2 linked regions of the Lonchura striata genome follow. The protein of the gene in region 2 purifies or fractionates together with the protein of the main gene of each other region. This does not show direct contact. Links are inferred from orthologs where the notes say so. Each region holds a gene or a part of one and is shown on either strand. Other genes may lie near its edges.

What was found.
Region 1: the proteins of SNRPA1 (region 2) and SF3A3 purify together in Homo sapiens (affinity purification with mass spectrometry; 6 studies listed by BioGRID and IntAct, counting the BioPlex papers as one, with this or other methods). This does not show direct contact. The link is inferred for Lonchura striata from reciprocal best matches to the Homo sapiens genes SNRPA1 and SF3A3.

What each region holds. Positions count from the first base shown.
Region 1 is NC_134628.1:4,815,390-4,822,308, forward strand, and holds the start of SF3A3 (splicing factor 3A subunit 3), read right to left. Parts: upstream 3,079-6,919; 5' UTR 3,017-3,078; coding exon 2,921-3,016; intron 2,848-2,920; coding exon 2,800-2,847; intron 2,561-2,799; coding exon 2,508-2,560; intron 1,997-2,507; coding exon 1,891-1,996; intron 1,485-1,890; coding exon 1,412-1,484; intron 1,053-1,411; coding exon 961-1,052; intron 836-960; coding exon 753-835; intron 396-752; coding exon 257-395; intron 1-256. UniProt on the Homo sapiens protein: Component of the 17S U2 SnRNP complex of the spliceosome, a large ribonucleoprotein complex that removes introns from transcribed pre-mRNAs.
Region 2 is NC_134613.1:21,794,748-21,802,010, forward strand, and holds the start of SNRPA1 (U2 small nuclear ribonucleoprotein A'), read right to left. Parts: upstream 3,011-7,263; 5' UTR 2,934-3,010; coding exon 2,852-2,933; intron 2,175-2,851; coding exon 2,027-2,174; intron 1,557-2,026; coding exon 1,478-1,556; intron 1,125-1,477; coding exon 1,078-1,124; intron 454-1,077; coding exon 351-453; intron 1-350. UniProt on the Homo sapiens protein: Involved in pre-mRNA splicing as component of the spliceosome. Associated with sn-RNP U2, where it contributes to the binding of stem loop IV of U2 snRNA.

The DNA.
Region 1 (6,919 bases), on a different chromosome or scaffold from region 2:
TCATTTCACAGAGAAAAATCCTCTTACTAAACTGAAAATGGAGCAGTAGTAAAGACGCAAAATAAGCCAACCTGAAACAATGCTCATTTTAAACCAGGTATGCTGGGTTTTAAATTCAGGTTGGTATCACCCTGCACCCTGGTGACACAGAGCTGCAGCCCTCACTGTCATGGTCACCTCCAGCAATGACTTTACACAAATGACTCACACAAACCCCTCCCAAACGCAGGAAGATCACCCAGCTCAGGCTGCTCACCGGCCAGCCTGGGAACGTGCCGTTCTCCCACTTCTTCTCAAACTCCGTCTGAATTTTCCCAAAAAGTTCATTCTGGTCCAGTAATGGCTTCACTCGATCTGTGTAATCCTGCAGGTACTCAAGGAGCATTTCAAGATACCTGGAATACAGGGGAATCATGAGCACAGGTAATTCACTGTCACCCTCTAACCACATCTTTGGACAGTCACTACCCTCCAGTGCTGCAGAGGAACGTGACCAAGGCATGGCCAGTTTTCCACAGATTTTTTTGCCATTACAGGTCCAATGGTACATTAAAGCTCTTCCTCTGAGCTGAATGTGTCTTTCCACATCTCTGCTGCACTGCAAGTTTGATTGGGGCTCAGACACATGACTGAGCTCAGGGACATGATTTATGTGAGTTAAGTTTGGCTGTTAATTACAATCTCTGCAGCTGGACACTTCAGAAGCAAATTCCTTCTCACCATAAAGGAAACAGGCAGGCAAACAAGCTTACCTCTTATATTCAGCATTTTTCCTCTCCTTGGGAATATCGAAGAGTTGGTCAAATGTGGATAAGTAAGTGATATAATCCAATTTCTAAGAACAGAAAGTCCGAGTCAGAGCTCATACAAGGCCAGATTAACAACCAGTTCCTAGAAAAGACAAGCCTCAGCCCGGGCAGGGCCTGGAGATCCCTGGGCCCACACACAGCAGACACTCACCTCTGATGATTTCAGGTTGATGTACTTGAGATAACAATCATGCAAATCCAAGTATCGGCCATACCCTTCCTCATCTGTGAACTCCACCAGATCTGTAGGAAAGATCATGAAAAGCTTTATTATGAACTTAATATTCCCTACTTGTATTATACAACTCTTTTTGAACTGGAAAAGGATCAGCTGCAAAGTCATTTATGCTTAAGGAAGGTGCTACAATGTCTCTGACACTCATTGAGCAGCCCCAACTGCTGCTCTGTGCAAGCACCAGAACATTCCTCAGGAACAGCAGCCTCACTGGGGACTGTTCCAGGGACTCCAGTTCAGAACCATTTAGATGACAGGAGAATTTTCAGAAGTCATTTAGTAAAAGGGAGGTGAGGCCCTGAAACACGCAAACCAGATCAAACAGCCTATTAAATAATGCCAGAGCTTGAGCAAACTACAAACTTACTCTGAGCTTCTTCACTCGGGTTGTCTTTGGCCTTCAGCAGCTCCTCAAACTCCACTGACATAGGAACACAGATCTGCAAAGGCAGATACAAGGCACAGAGCGATTTACTTCAGCTCCTGTCCCAGAATAACTACTATAAAATCATGCAAGGTGGCAAATAATGAAATTGCAAACAGAAAAGAGACTCAAAGCTTTGTCACCTTTCTTTCTGCACAAAGGCAAAAGTGTGGCTTTAGCCAGCACAAGAAAGGTGAGATCTGATCCCAGCTCAGCTGAACATCCCTGTTCTAGCAGGGAACAGGGTGAGCATCCTGCACTGCTCCCTGACATGCTGCCTGACCCTGAGCATCTGTGCTGTGTGTTCTCAGTACTTGTGTGTTAAAGCAATAAAACTGGGGAAACAAAACCTCTGTTTCCTTTAGGGATGAGACCCAACAGAGCACAGCACACCTCTTCCTATGGACCAGGTAACTACTCACCTCATTTGGGTGCTTCCGGTGAAATTCCTTAATTTGCTTCAGTCTGTTGTAAAACTCTGCAAATTCATTTGGCCCGGAAATGGCACTGAGTTCTTCCTTACGCAGGCTATGAGTTCACAGACAGCAAGAGATTAGGAAGGGAAGGGAATAAGGGAGCAAAGGAAAGGAAGGGAAAGGAAGGGAAGAAGGGAAGGGGGGAAGGGAAGAAGGGAATAAGGGAAGGAAAGGGAAAGGAAGGGAATAAGGGAATAAGGGAATAAGGGAATAAGGGAAGGGAAGGGAAGGGAAGGGAAGGATGACACTGACACAACCTTAGTCCAGGGCTGTGCTGCAGTGTCTAGACTGCAAACCTTTAAGTCATGGGGACCTCCCAGCCCACCAGGCTCTCATGGTCACAGCCCACACAGGCTGCAGCCCCTGACAAACCCCGGGAGCAGGCAGGGCCTCCCCACGACACAACACAACAAAACCTGCCCATCCTACACGGATGCTCCTGGGTGCACTCGCGTCCTGCCCTGCACTCGGCCGCCACCTCTCCATTCCCGTGTCAGTCTTTAGACACACTGGATCCAGCAGCCCGGCACGCTCCGACACACGAGGGCCCCGGGCACACTCACCCGTCCTTGTCGTCGTACAGGTCCCGCAGGTTGCCGCTCACTTCCATGTACCTCTGCGGAACAAAGGAGCGGCCCGAGTGGCGCCGAGCCCGTCACCGAGCCCGTTATCGAGCCCGTTATCGAGCCCATCATCGAGCCCGTCACCGAGCCCGTCACCGAGCCCGTCACCGAGCCCATCACCGAGCCCGTCACCGAGCCCGTCACCGAGCCCGTCACCGGGACGGGCCCCGGCGGCCCCGGGGAGCCGCCCGGCCCGGCCCGGCCCAGCCCCGCTCCCGCCCGCAGCACTCACGTCCTGCATGGCCCGGGTGCGGTGGTCCGAGTTGATCTGGTCGCGGAGCTGCGGGCAGAGCAGAGCGGTGAGCGCGGGCCCGGGGGAGCCTCCCGCACCCCCCACAAGGCCCCGGGCGCACCGTGGACTTCTTGGTGAGCATCTCCTTCACCATCACGTCCATGAGGCGCTCCCGCTCCTCATGGTAGCGCCGCTGCTGCTCCAGGATCGTCTCCATGCCGCGCTCGGCTCGCAGCCGCCGGCAGGCCGCGGCGAGGCCCCGCTGTGTGGGGAGGTTCCGGTTCCGGGGCGCTGCGCGGGGCCGCGGCGCGGCCGGCAGGAGGCGGCTGCGGCCGTGCCCGAGCGCGGTGTGTGACCGCGGGTTTGTGTCCGACAGCGGTGTCTGACAGCGGGGATGTGTCCGACAGCGGTGTCTGACAGCGGGGCCGTGCCCGAGTACAGTGTCTGAGAGGGGGCCGGTGTCCGACAGCGGTGTCTGAGAGCGGGGCCGTGCCCGAGTACACTGTTCGAGCGGCCGGGCCGTGCCCCTCAGCGCGGGCCGTGCCCCTCAGCGCGGGCCGTGCCCCTCAGCGCGGGCCGTGTCCGAGCGCGGTGTCCAAGCACGGACCGTGTCTGAACGAAGTATGCGAGTGTGGGGCCGTGTCCGTGCGGCAGGGCCGTGTCTGAGTACAGCGTCCGAGTACAGTGTCCGAGTGGCAGAACCGTATCGGAGTGCGGTGTCCGAGCCGCAGGGCTGTGGCCAAGCACAGTGTCTGGGTACAGTGTCCGAGCACAGGGCCGTGTCCGAGCGCAGTGTCCGAGAGCAGGGCCGTGTCCGAGCACAGTGTCCGAGTACAGTGTCCGAGCACAGGGCCGTGTCCGAGCACGGTGTCCAAGTGCAGTGTCCAAGCACGGGGCCGTGTCCGAGCACGGTGTCCGAGCTGCAGGGCTGTGTCCAAGCGCAGTGTCCGAGCACAGGGCCATGTCCGAGCACGGTGTCCGAGCGCAGTGTCCGAGTACAGTGTCCAAGCACAGTGTCCGAGCACAGGGCCGTGTCCGAGCACGGTGTCCGAGCGCACTGTCCGAGCACAGGGCCGTGTCTGAGCACAGTGTCCAAGCACAGTGTCCGAGCACAGGGCCGTGTCCGAGCACAGTGTCCAAGCACAGTGTCCGAGCACAGGGCCGTGTCCAAGCACGGTGTCCGAGCGCACTGTCCGAGCACAGTGTCCAAGCGCAGTGTCCAAGCGCAGTGTCCGAGCACAGTGTCCAAGCACAGTGTCCGAGCGCAGTGTCCGAGCGCAGGGCCGTGTCCGAGCCATGGTGTCAAAGCACAGTGTCTGAGCACAGGGCCCTGTCCGAGCACGGTGTCCAAGCGCAGTGTCCAAGCACAGTGTCCGAGTACAGTGTCCGAGCACAGGGCCGTGTCCGAGCACAGTGTCCAAGCACAGTGTCCGAGCACAGGGCCGTGTCCGAGCACGGTGTCTGAGTACAGTGTTCGAGCACAGGGCCATGTCTGAGCACAGTGTCCGAGTACAGTGTCCAAGCACGGGGCCGTGTCCAAGCGCAGTGTCCAAGCGCAGTGTCCGAGCACAGTGTCCGAGCACAGTGTCCGAGCGCAGTGTCCGAGCGCAGGGCCGTGTCCGAGCCATGGTGTCAAAGCACAGTGTCTGAGCAGAGGGCCGTGTCCAAGCACGGTGTCCGAGCGCACTGTCCGAGCACAGGGCCGTGTCCGAGCACGGTGTCCAAGCGCAGTGTCCGAGCACAGGGCCATGTCCGAGCACGGTGTCCAAGCGCAGTGTCCGAGCGCACTGTCCGAGCACAGGGCCGTGTCTGAGCACGGTGTCCGAGCGCACTGTCCGAGCACAGGGCCGTGTCCGAGCACGGTGTCCAAGCACAGTGTCCGAGCACAGGGCCATGTCCGAGCACGGTGCTTGGTGGCACTGAGTGGCCCGAGGTGCCGGTTTGGATTTAGGGCTGCCCCAGCCTGGAGCCTCCCGGGGTTGCCCGGCCACAGCAGCGCTGTCCAGTGCCCAGCCAGGCCGTGCCGTGCTGGCTCCCCACGGCCGGTGCCTCAGTGCCCAGCAGCACAGACTTTGCTTTCAGCCCCATGTGGGTTTCAACTGCCTTCTTCAGATCCCCCCTAAATCCAAGGGTGCCTTGCCCCAACACTGCCAAATGCAAAGCTGTGATTACATTTTGACTCACTGTATATTAATAAATCATTAATATTTTTCTGCCATGTGCAATAAATTACTCTCAGCCAAAAGCAAGAAAAAAAATTGTCTTAATGGCAGCCAAAGATGATCCTTCAATGAGGATAGGATGATGCTGCAGGTAAGAATACTGTCTTTAATTACTCCCTTGCATTATAGGCAAATTACATCACTTTTCTTCATGAATGCCTGCCTAAAAATAAAAACAGAGATATGATTCTGAGCTTAGTGTTCTTCCATTTCTCTTTGCATGAACCTTCACTCTGGAAAGGGAAGAAGTTGAAATCCAGCAGTGCCCTCTCCAGCCACATGGCCTTCTTATTTTGGACTGCTGGCATCAGGAGGATCAAGGTGGGACAAGACCAGCCCTTGCATGACCACCCTCCTCCTCAGCCCACAGGTGGCAGTGCACATGGGAGGAATTGGGAGAAAGCTGGACTAAGAGATGCTATTTCATTTCAGGGACTGGGAGCTGAAATGCAGAGAATCACAGAATATCCTGAACCCATGAGGATCATCAAAGTCCAACTCCTGGCCCTGCACAGGACTCCCCAGGCAGTGGCTTGTACCTGGCTCTGCCCATTGGGGCTGCAAACGCTGCCCCTGATCCACAGTGGTGCAGGAGGGCATAGCTTGGGCAGATTTGGTCAGTGCCAGGGTCTCTTTCTACCCCTGCAGTGCTGCCCCATGTCCTCAGCAGCTTCCCCCATCCCACCTCACCAGCACAACAGCCCTGGCTTGACCCCCCTCACACCACTCCTTGTGCCTAATAAAATTTCCATGACTGTTTCAGACCCACACTCCAGAGTCTCGGGGGATGTTTGTGCATGACATCACCCTCCCCCTCCTGTAAATCAGGCACTGGGCCATGTACAGCCATGACCCATTCATGACAGGGATAAAATCCAGATGTTTCAGTGCTACGTGCAGCTGGGTCATTTCCTTTTTTGGCTAAAAACGTGAGGCTCTGGAGGCTGACTGAAAGAAGAGCCTGGGGGCCCCTTGTATAGAAACCTTTTGCGGTTAATCCCTGGAAACAGCACTGCAGAAAGCCCGGCTGGAGCTGCTGCTGCTGGAGGACAGGCTCAGCTGGGAACCTCTGGGCTGGAGCTATTCACTCACCCTCCAAGGGCCAGCACAGCACCAGAGCCCAGCCCAGGTCACAGGGCAGCAAGAGCAACAAAAATCGTGCTAGAATTCCATCAGCCAGCAGAGCAGAGCCTTTGAAGCGGCCAGGAATGTGCACACACCAGTGCCATGGTCCTGCAGAGGCACCCCGTGGGCTGTGCCCAGCCTGCCACCACAGCAGCACCCATGGGAGCCTAGCCACTGTGCTGAGAGGGCTGGAGCAGGCAAGTCCAGAGCAAGTCACAGCAGCTGTTGGTAAATGTAAAGGATCTGTGGAAAATAGTTTCATATGTTAGGGAACACATGGCTCCCTGGCTGATAAACATGAGTACAGAGCATGCAGCACTTCAGGGAAGGCTGCCAAGAGGGACCGTGGATATCCTGGCTGGAGGCTGCAGCTACCCCAGGAGTCCCCTTGGAATGCTGTGGCATGGGCAGGCAGTGCACACTGCAGGGCAGGAGGCTGCTCTGCAGCAGGGTTGGCTTGGTACCACAGCCATCCCAACAGTCCCACAGCCAGCCTGCAAAGACAGCAAGGACAGACAGATGGACACCCCCAGCCCCTGGAAGCCACTGCAGCCACGCAGCAGGAGGAGGGAGACGCTGTGGCCACAATCACAGGGCCGGCACGGCTGGTCCTGGGCTGTGGTTTGGGAAGGCAGGCACAAGCACTGCAGAGGTTGCCCGTCCCCAGAATGGGATCAGGGGTGAGGCAAGGCTGAGCAGAGCCCAGCACCCACTCAGCATTCTGCCCTGTGCCTGCTGTTCAAGAGACACAGAAGAGAAAGTGTCACGAAAAT
Region 2 (7,263 bases):
AACACCAGAAGGACAAGAAAGAGTTAACACTAAACAAAGGCAATAGAACTTAATTAAACATAATTAAACAGCTTTTTAAAAATATTTTAATAAAATTAAAATATCCTTAACAGAAGGAAACCATGAAAGAAAACAATGAGAGCATTGTAGAGCCACTTACAGAGTTTCAATAAAATTTACAACTATGGCAACAAGATTGATGTTAGTGGTGAATTTTCAAAAGTGCAAAAAAAACCCCAAAAAAACCGAAACCGCAAAAAACCCCAAAAGAAAACCCTAAAAAGAAGCCCAACCAAACCAAAAAAACCCCACCAAGTACAAATACCTAAATCAAAAGCAAGCAGACTTACTTTGAGCTTCACTTTTTGAAAATCCAGCACTCTGACCTGGGGAACTTTATGAATTAAATATAATCTGTAATGTTTCTTATTTGTTACAGGATTCCTTAGAACGCTGTGAAGTAAATAAAGGTTATAAAGAGGCTTTTAATATAATTTTTTTTAATACACTTGTATTGAAATATATTAATATACTTGAAATGCATTAATGCACTTCCTGCTGTAACAGGTAACAAATAACATCATGAAATAAGTTCAGTGACAGTTCTTTGATATTATGGAAATTATAGTAAAAACTTGCACTTTAGCAATTCAGTAGATTTAACTGAAGGATGACATTAAGAACAACCTCAAAATAATCATAATACTCCCCCAAAAAAGTAACTGAAACATCACTTTATTATTACTGAAAAGTCCTTGTTTACATGTATTTTAAACTTTTTTTATCAACAGATTAAACATCTTGGGTTTAGATTTTTAAAGGTTAAACTCACTTCAGCACTTGTGTATTGGTTTCTAGAGATGTTACATCTCATTAGAAACAGTCTGTCAGTAATATAAAACCTCAGCTATTAATTACCAGATGCTCATTAAGTTTATAAATTAAATTTTTAGACATAAAGGATCTGTCACATCAGCTCATAAAAAGCAGAGCATTCCAGACCAAAGCAAAGGGCCAGGCCAGCAGCAAAGTTCAAACACCAGAGAAAGAGCAGCTTTTCTTTTTGGGGTTACATACCTCAGGTAAGTCAATGATTTAATACTTGATAATGGATCCAGTTCACCCTGGGTAAAGGGAGCACAGCAAGATATTTTAAGCGCCTTTAGCAAAAAAAAAATCAACTATTTGAAAACGAAGTTCCTGAACTAATATATATTTTTGAGATTAATTAAATTACTGCAATTATTTTAATAGGAAAACCACTAAGCTTTGTGACTGCTGTTCCACTACATGATGCAAATCATGTTCATTAAAGCATGTACACCATTAACTACTGCCAAAACTGCAGGATGTTACTCTAAAGAGAAAGAACCAACTATTACCAAAAGGATATGGCACTCTCAGGAAAATGGTCAATTGGAGAGATGAAAACCACAAATTTTAAGCTTGTTTAGCTTTATCCTGCATGCCAACTTACCAGTTCAGCAATGTTGTTGTTGGTAAGAATGAGCTCTGTGAGGCTGGGCAGAGCCTGCTCCAGGTTCTCACCAATCCGACTGAAGAAGAAGAAAAAGCAAAGGTTTCATTTAGGGCAGGAATTAGCAATGCTGGAAACACACAGAGAAACTCAACAACCCAGTCTGACACTGGCAGAAGTCTGGGTGAGCATCCAAAACACTTTTCTAATAAAGCTGGCAATAAATCACTGCAAGAATATTAGGTGCAATGAGATTTAAATCCATTCCCTTGCAGGTATCCCTTTTCTCATGTCTTTCTGGAGCTGATTACTGAAATCCAAAGATGTGGCCAGACCCCAAACTCTGCATCTCCTTGTCCTGGCTGAGAAACAAACACTGAATTTTGCATTGAATCAGAAAGAGGGCCCACACAGTCCTCAGTGCTGATTTTATTGCCTCAAACAAACACTCCTGCATCTGCCCAGCACTGAAAGATGCACACACACTCCTCTCCCCCAAGAGGATTTTCCTCTGCCCAGAGTCCCATCAGGCCAAAGCACAGCCCTTACCAAATCCTGTTGTTATTCATGAGGAGCGTTTTCAGCCTCCGCAGCAGGGGGAACCCGTCCAGCTTGCGGATCTCGTTGTCAGAGAAATCGATGGCATCAAACTGGTCCAGAGTGGCACCCAAGTTCTCAATGACAGGGATTTTATAGCCTGGAGAGAGAGCGCAGGGCAGGGATTAGATGGTGCCCACAGCAGAGCAGACAGAACAGAGTGTGTGGGGGCAAATCGGGATGCTGATAAGGCTCAGACAAAACACCTCGGGACTGATTCTGCTCCACACCACTCCCAGACCAAACTCTCCTCCTCAAGCCCAACAGCCCTCATGGCTTTTTGAATCCTTCATCCTCCCCCACAGCAAAACCCCAGCTCCCTGCCTGGACGTGTCCTCCGAGCCGAACCCACCTTTCACCGCCACAGCACATGCCTCCCACATTCCCTCCAGTATCGCCTTCTGGTGGTTGGCACGAGATGATCTTTAGGTTCCCTTCCATCCTAAAGCGTTCTAGCACTCTGTGATTCACGCCCTCACACCCCCCGCAGGTCCCGAAGCCGCTGCAGCCTCTCCAGGCGCTCTTCACCCCCACCCCCGGCCGCCGCAGCCCCTCCAGCACCCTCCCGCGGCGTCCCCGTCCTCCTTCCGCACCTCCGGCCGCGGAAGGCGCCAGGCCCCACTGGGAGATCCATCACGGACCTCCGAACCCCGTCACGGCCTCTCCTCCGGGACGCACCGCCAGGCCCCAGCACAGCCCCGCGCCCACCCCGGCCCGCAGCCCGCAGCCCTCAGCCCCTTCCCAGCGCGGCCCTCTCGCCCCGCGGGGCCCGCGCACCGCGCAGATCCAGCTCCCGGTCGCGGACGGCATTGGTGTACTGTGCCGCTTGCTCGATCAGCTCCGCCGTGAGCTTCACCATCGCGACAGACGGCGACAGACCGGGACACAGCGGGACGGACACAGCGGGACACACACAGCGGGACACACACAGCGGGACACACAGCGGGACCCACCGCGCCGCGCCGCCGCAGTACGCCGCGCCGAGCGCCGAGCGCCGAGCGCGCGCAGCCCGGGCGGCCGAGCGCCGAGACAGCGAGCGGCAGAGACCGCCCTGCCCGCCCCTCCCGCCTTCCCTTCCCCTCAGGGACCGGTGCGGCCCCGACAGCCCATCCCTGCCTTCCCCTCAGGGAGGGGTACAGCCCCGACAGCCCATCCCTGCCTTCCCCTCAGGGACCGGTACAGCCCCAGCACCCCGTGCCTGTGTTCCCCTCAGGGACTGATATATCCCCCAGCACCCCATCCCTGCCTCCCCTTCCCCTCAGGGACTGATATATCCCCCAGCACCCCATCCCTTCCCATCAAGGACTGATATATCCCCCAGCACCCCATCCCTGCCTCCCCTTCCCCTCATGGACTGATACCTCCCCAGCACCCCATCCCCGCGTTCTGCTCCTCCCGGGCCAGCTCCCAGCCCCACTCCCAAGCCATGGCTCACAAGCCCAGGAGGGATTTGGCTTTGCTGTCAGCACAGGTGTCCCCAGAGGTCCCCTCCCACCTTCTGGTGTTTCCAGGCGCAGATTTAGCTGCAGAAATCCGGGCAGAGCAGGAGGAGCACGCTTCACGCCATGGCTGGTGCTCCTCTTCAGACAGAACCGTGTTCAAACACTTGCTGCTCCTCAGGGCACCTTCTGCAGCAGCCACAGCTCTTGGTGCTCTCCATCCATCCCAGCAGCAGCTCAGCCTTTGCTCCTGGACATTGTTTTGCCCATAAACATCTTCCCCCTGCAGCTTTTGGGGCAGTTTCCCTGTCACTTCCACGTGCACTCCTGGTCTGAGGTGCTGTGGGAACACCCCACAGGCTGCAGCACCACACACCCTTTTTATCTGTGAGACAAAACGTGATCGCAAACGTCACGACATCCCCCTAACTGGCTTTGGGAATTTGGGGAACAGCAAGGAAGGGCTGGGAGTAGCGCTGGGGGAGCTGAGGGGGCTCTGGCTGCTGAGGCTGGGGCACTGCCTGGCACCACTGGGACAGGCACAGCTGGCGGGTGAGCCACACTGCAGTGACGGGACTGGAAGTGACATTTAAGGGACACCCCCAGGCCCCCAAAACCTGCTCAATGTCACCAAGCTGCTGCTTCTGGGGAAATCCTTCCCTGGCCTTCATGGCCCGCAGAGCAGAATGAGGAAAAATGATTTCTGCCGCCGCTGCTATCGTGGGGAGGATGTTTTTTGTGAGCCATGACATTTCTGTGAACCCAGAGGATGTGATAACAGGCTGAACACTGCTGCCACGCTTGGCACTGCTCAAGGATGGCTCGTGCTTTTCTTTTTGGGAGCTTCTCAGGGCATCACCCCGGGCCTGCCTCAGTGTCCAGGACTGCAGATCCCTGCCAGGGATCAGCTGGGCTCAGGCAGTTCCTGTGCTCCCTGCTGGCAAAACTCCCTCATCAAAGCCCTATGGGAAAGCACAGAGTCAGGTTTTTTATAACAGCTGCATTTGTTTTATAACATAGGAGGGAGCAAGAACAAGAGGGAGCTGTCACAAGAAAAACCCAAGAATTAGCAGCGCTGTTGTACATGACTCAGGCATCATGCAGCGTTAAAGACTTTAGTCATTTCAGGCTGCTCTTACAAGGAGACTCTTTTAGCCTCCTGGAAAGCAGGCCCTGCCTCTGACAAGGCCAAATAAAGCATGGACCTGTCTCCCTCAGCACAATACATCTGTTTGCTTCAGCTCTACAGCCACAATAGAATTGTAATTGCGAGCAGATGGATTCTGGGTCTCAGACGCTGCACACAAGCTCTCGACAGTCCTTTCTTTGCAGTGAAAACTCAAAGCAATGATTTTTAAGATCTGTTCTCCCCACCTGCCAACTGCACAATGGCAGATGGCCGTGGCTGCAACCCCAGGGCCAAACTGCAAACGAGGAGTCAGGCTGCGCTAAGATTTTCCAGAAAACAGCTATTATAGATTTGGCTTTGGTGCCAAGAGACAACAGAGAAATGAGCTTTAATAAATTGCCTAAATATGCATTTATCTTGAAGACACAGCCACTTTGATCCTCTGAGCATACCAGTCAGAATTTAATAGCTCTGAGCAAGTATTGCAACAGCTTGGAGAAATAATCTGAATTTTATTACTTTACAAGAATGATTTCTGAGGAAAACGCTGGAAGCTGATGTTGTTGCATGAATTCAATGTGCAGAATTTGTTTTTCTTTCCCTGGCAGGCTGGAAGGCAGCAGAAAGCAGGATAGAGCTGGAACTGCTGGGGACTGGTCATCTTAAATTGCCTTGCCTTCCCCAGTGTGTATTTTAAGTTATGTCAAGATGTAAGAGTAAGCATTTTGCTTTCTTTGTAGCATTTCAGTACATCTAAATATACCAGGGAGCAGTGTTTAGAGGCAGGCTGCTGTGAGCCAGAGAACTGGAAGGCTGGCACAGTACTCCTGATCCACAGCTCCTGTTTTCTCACTTACACAGCAGGAGAAATGAAGTTTGGTGTTTTCCAACCCAAGGGGCAGAAGCCAGAAGTGTGTCACCCCAGTTCTGACCTCTGGTTTGGCCTGAGACTGAAAGGGAAATCCTGCAGCAAAAGGAATCACTGTATGTGATTAATTCACATTTATCATCTGATGAATGTGAAGACCAACAAAATGCAGGAGCCCACAGCTGCACAACCCTGAGAAAGCGTCTTCCCTTGTAGGAGGGCTCGATTTCTTTTATTTTTCCCCCCACTTAAAAAGCTCAGTTCCAGATTTCCAGGCACTACCCTGGGCACTTGGCCCATGGTTGTTGCAAAACCAACACGACAAACAAAGGGTTCTACAGCTCCCTGCATCCCCAGCCACAGCAGCAGCTCCTCTCTTTCCCAGACAGCCAACAAGGAACAGCTGCTGGGAGCTGCAGTGGGGAACTGGGAGCTCGGGATGCTCCTTGTATGAGTGGGGAAGGGGAGCAAGTTTTTCTGCCAGCTCATCCACACTGCAGAATACACCCACCCCAGCACGGCCCCAAACCCCAGTAAGATGGCCCTGGGTGCACCAGCCCGGCCTGGCACAGGGCAGGCACAGGGTGGTATTCTGGATTTGAGTTTCTTCTCTAGGTAAAAGACCTTTGCAACAACAATAGCGAGGTTTTTGCAGATGCAGCTCATCTGTTCCTGAGCATGTCTCCCACAGGTGCTCCAGCCAGGGGAGCTGCTTTGTCCAGCAAAGTAAGGACATGCAGTGCTTCCAGTGAGGACTTAATGAATTTGGAAAAAGCACAGATTCATTTGTCAGGGGAGATCAATAGTTTATTAACTTAAAGATCAGTTCACCATAGCTCCATCTTTCCTTGGATTTGGTCCAGGCAGGTGAGGGCTGGAGACAGTGTGGCTTTCTCTCCTCACCTGGCTGAGGTGAGCTCTTGTGGGCAAGCCCAGGCAGGGCAGGTGTCGTTGCAGCCGAAACCAAGCAGGGATTATCCCAGTTCCGTGTGGAACTGGTGACAATTTCACTGGCAAGAGGTTTAACTCATTAAAACTATTAACAATGAAAATCAGAACATGCAGCGTAGGAAAGTTTACATATGTCTCGTGCAAAGAGTGGCTTTGCAGGGTCAGAGAGGAGAAAAGGAGAAGGAATAAGACACAAAAAGATACCCCACTCCCATATAAAAAATAGTCCACAGAGGAAAAAAACAAGGATTGTATAAGTTATTTTTTAAAAATCTGTAAAACAACATAGCCAAGGATATTTTAAACACAATTATATAAACACCACATGACTTACTATTAAGAGAGAGCATGAAAAGGTTTGTTTCAGGGAAGGGTTTTGTGGAATTAAGTTTCCTGGCTGGATCCCTGGAATGTCTCATTTGGGAAATAGATGCCCAAGAAAAATCACTGCCATGAACAGGAGGATTTTGTGTGAGAGAGAGAGGGGTGTACCCAGCGAAACAGGGGAAGGATCATAACACAAAATGCCAAGAAAGATTAACTGGGACAACATCTCGTTTAGAGGAAGGATTTAGCTTGTTCCAGAACTGACTTGATCAGCAATGCACAAGCAGTTCCAGGAGGGAAATACATTTCATGGTAAGGCTGGTCCATGTGGACAACCCCCCCCCAAAAACCCTACGACTCCTTGTAGGCACACGGGTTTTGCCTGGCTGCAGTTACCTGCAGGGCAAAGCCCCGCTGGGCTGACACACCTGCAGAGCCCCATGGGGCAGCTCTGCCTTTGGTCCTCAAACCTCCA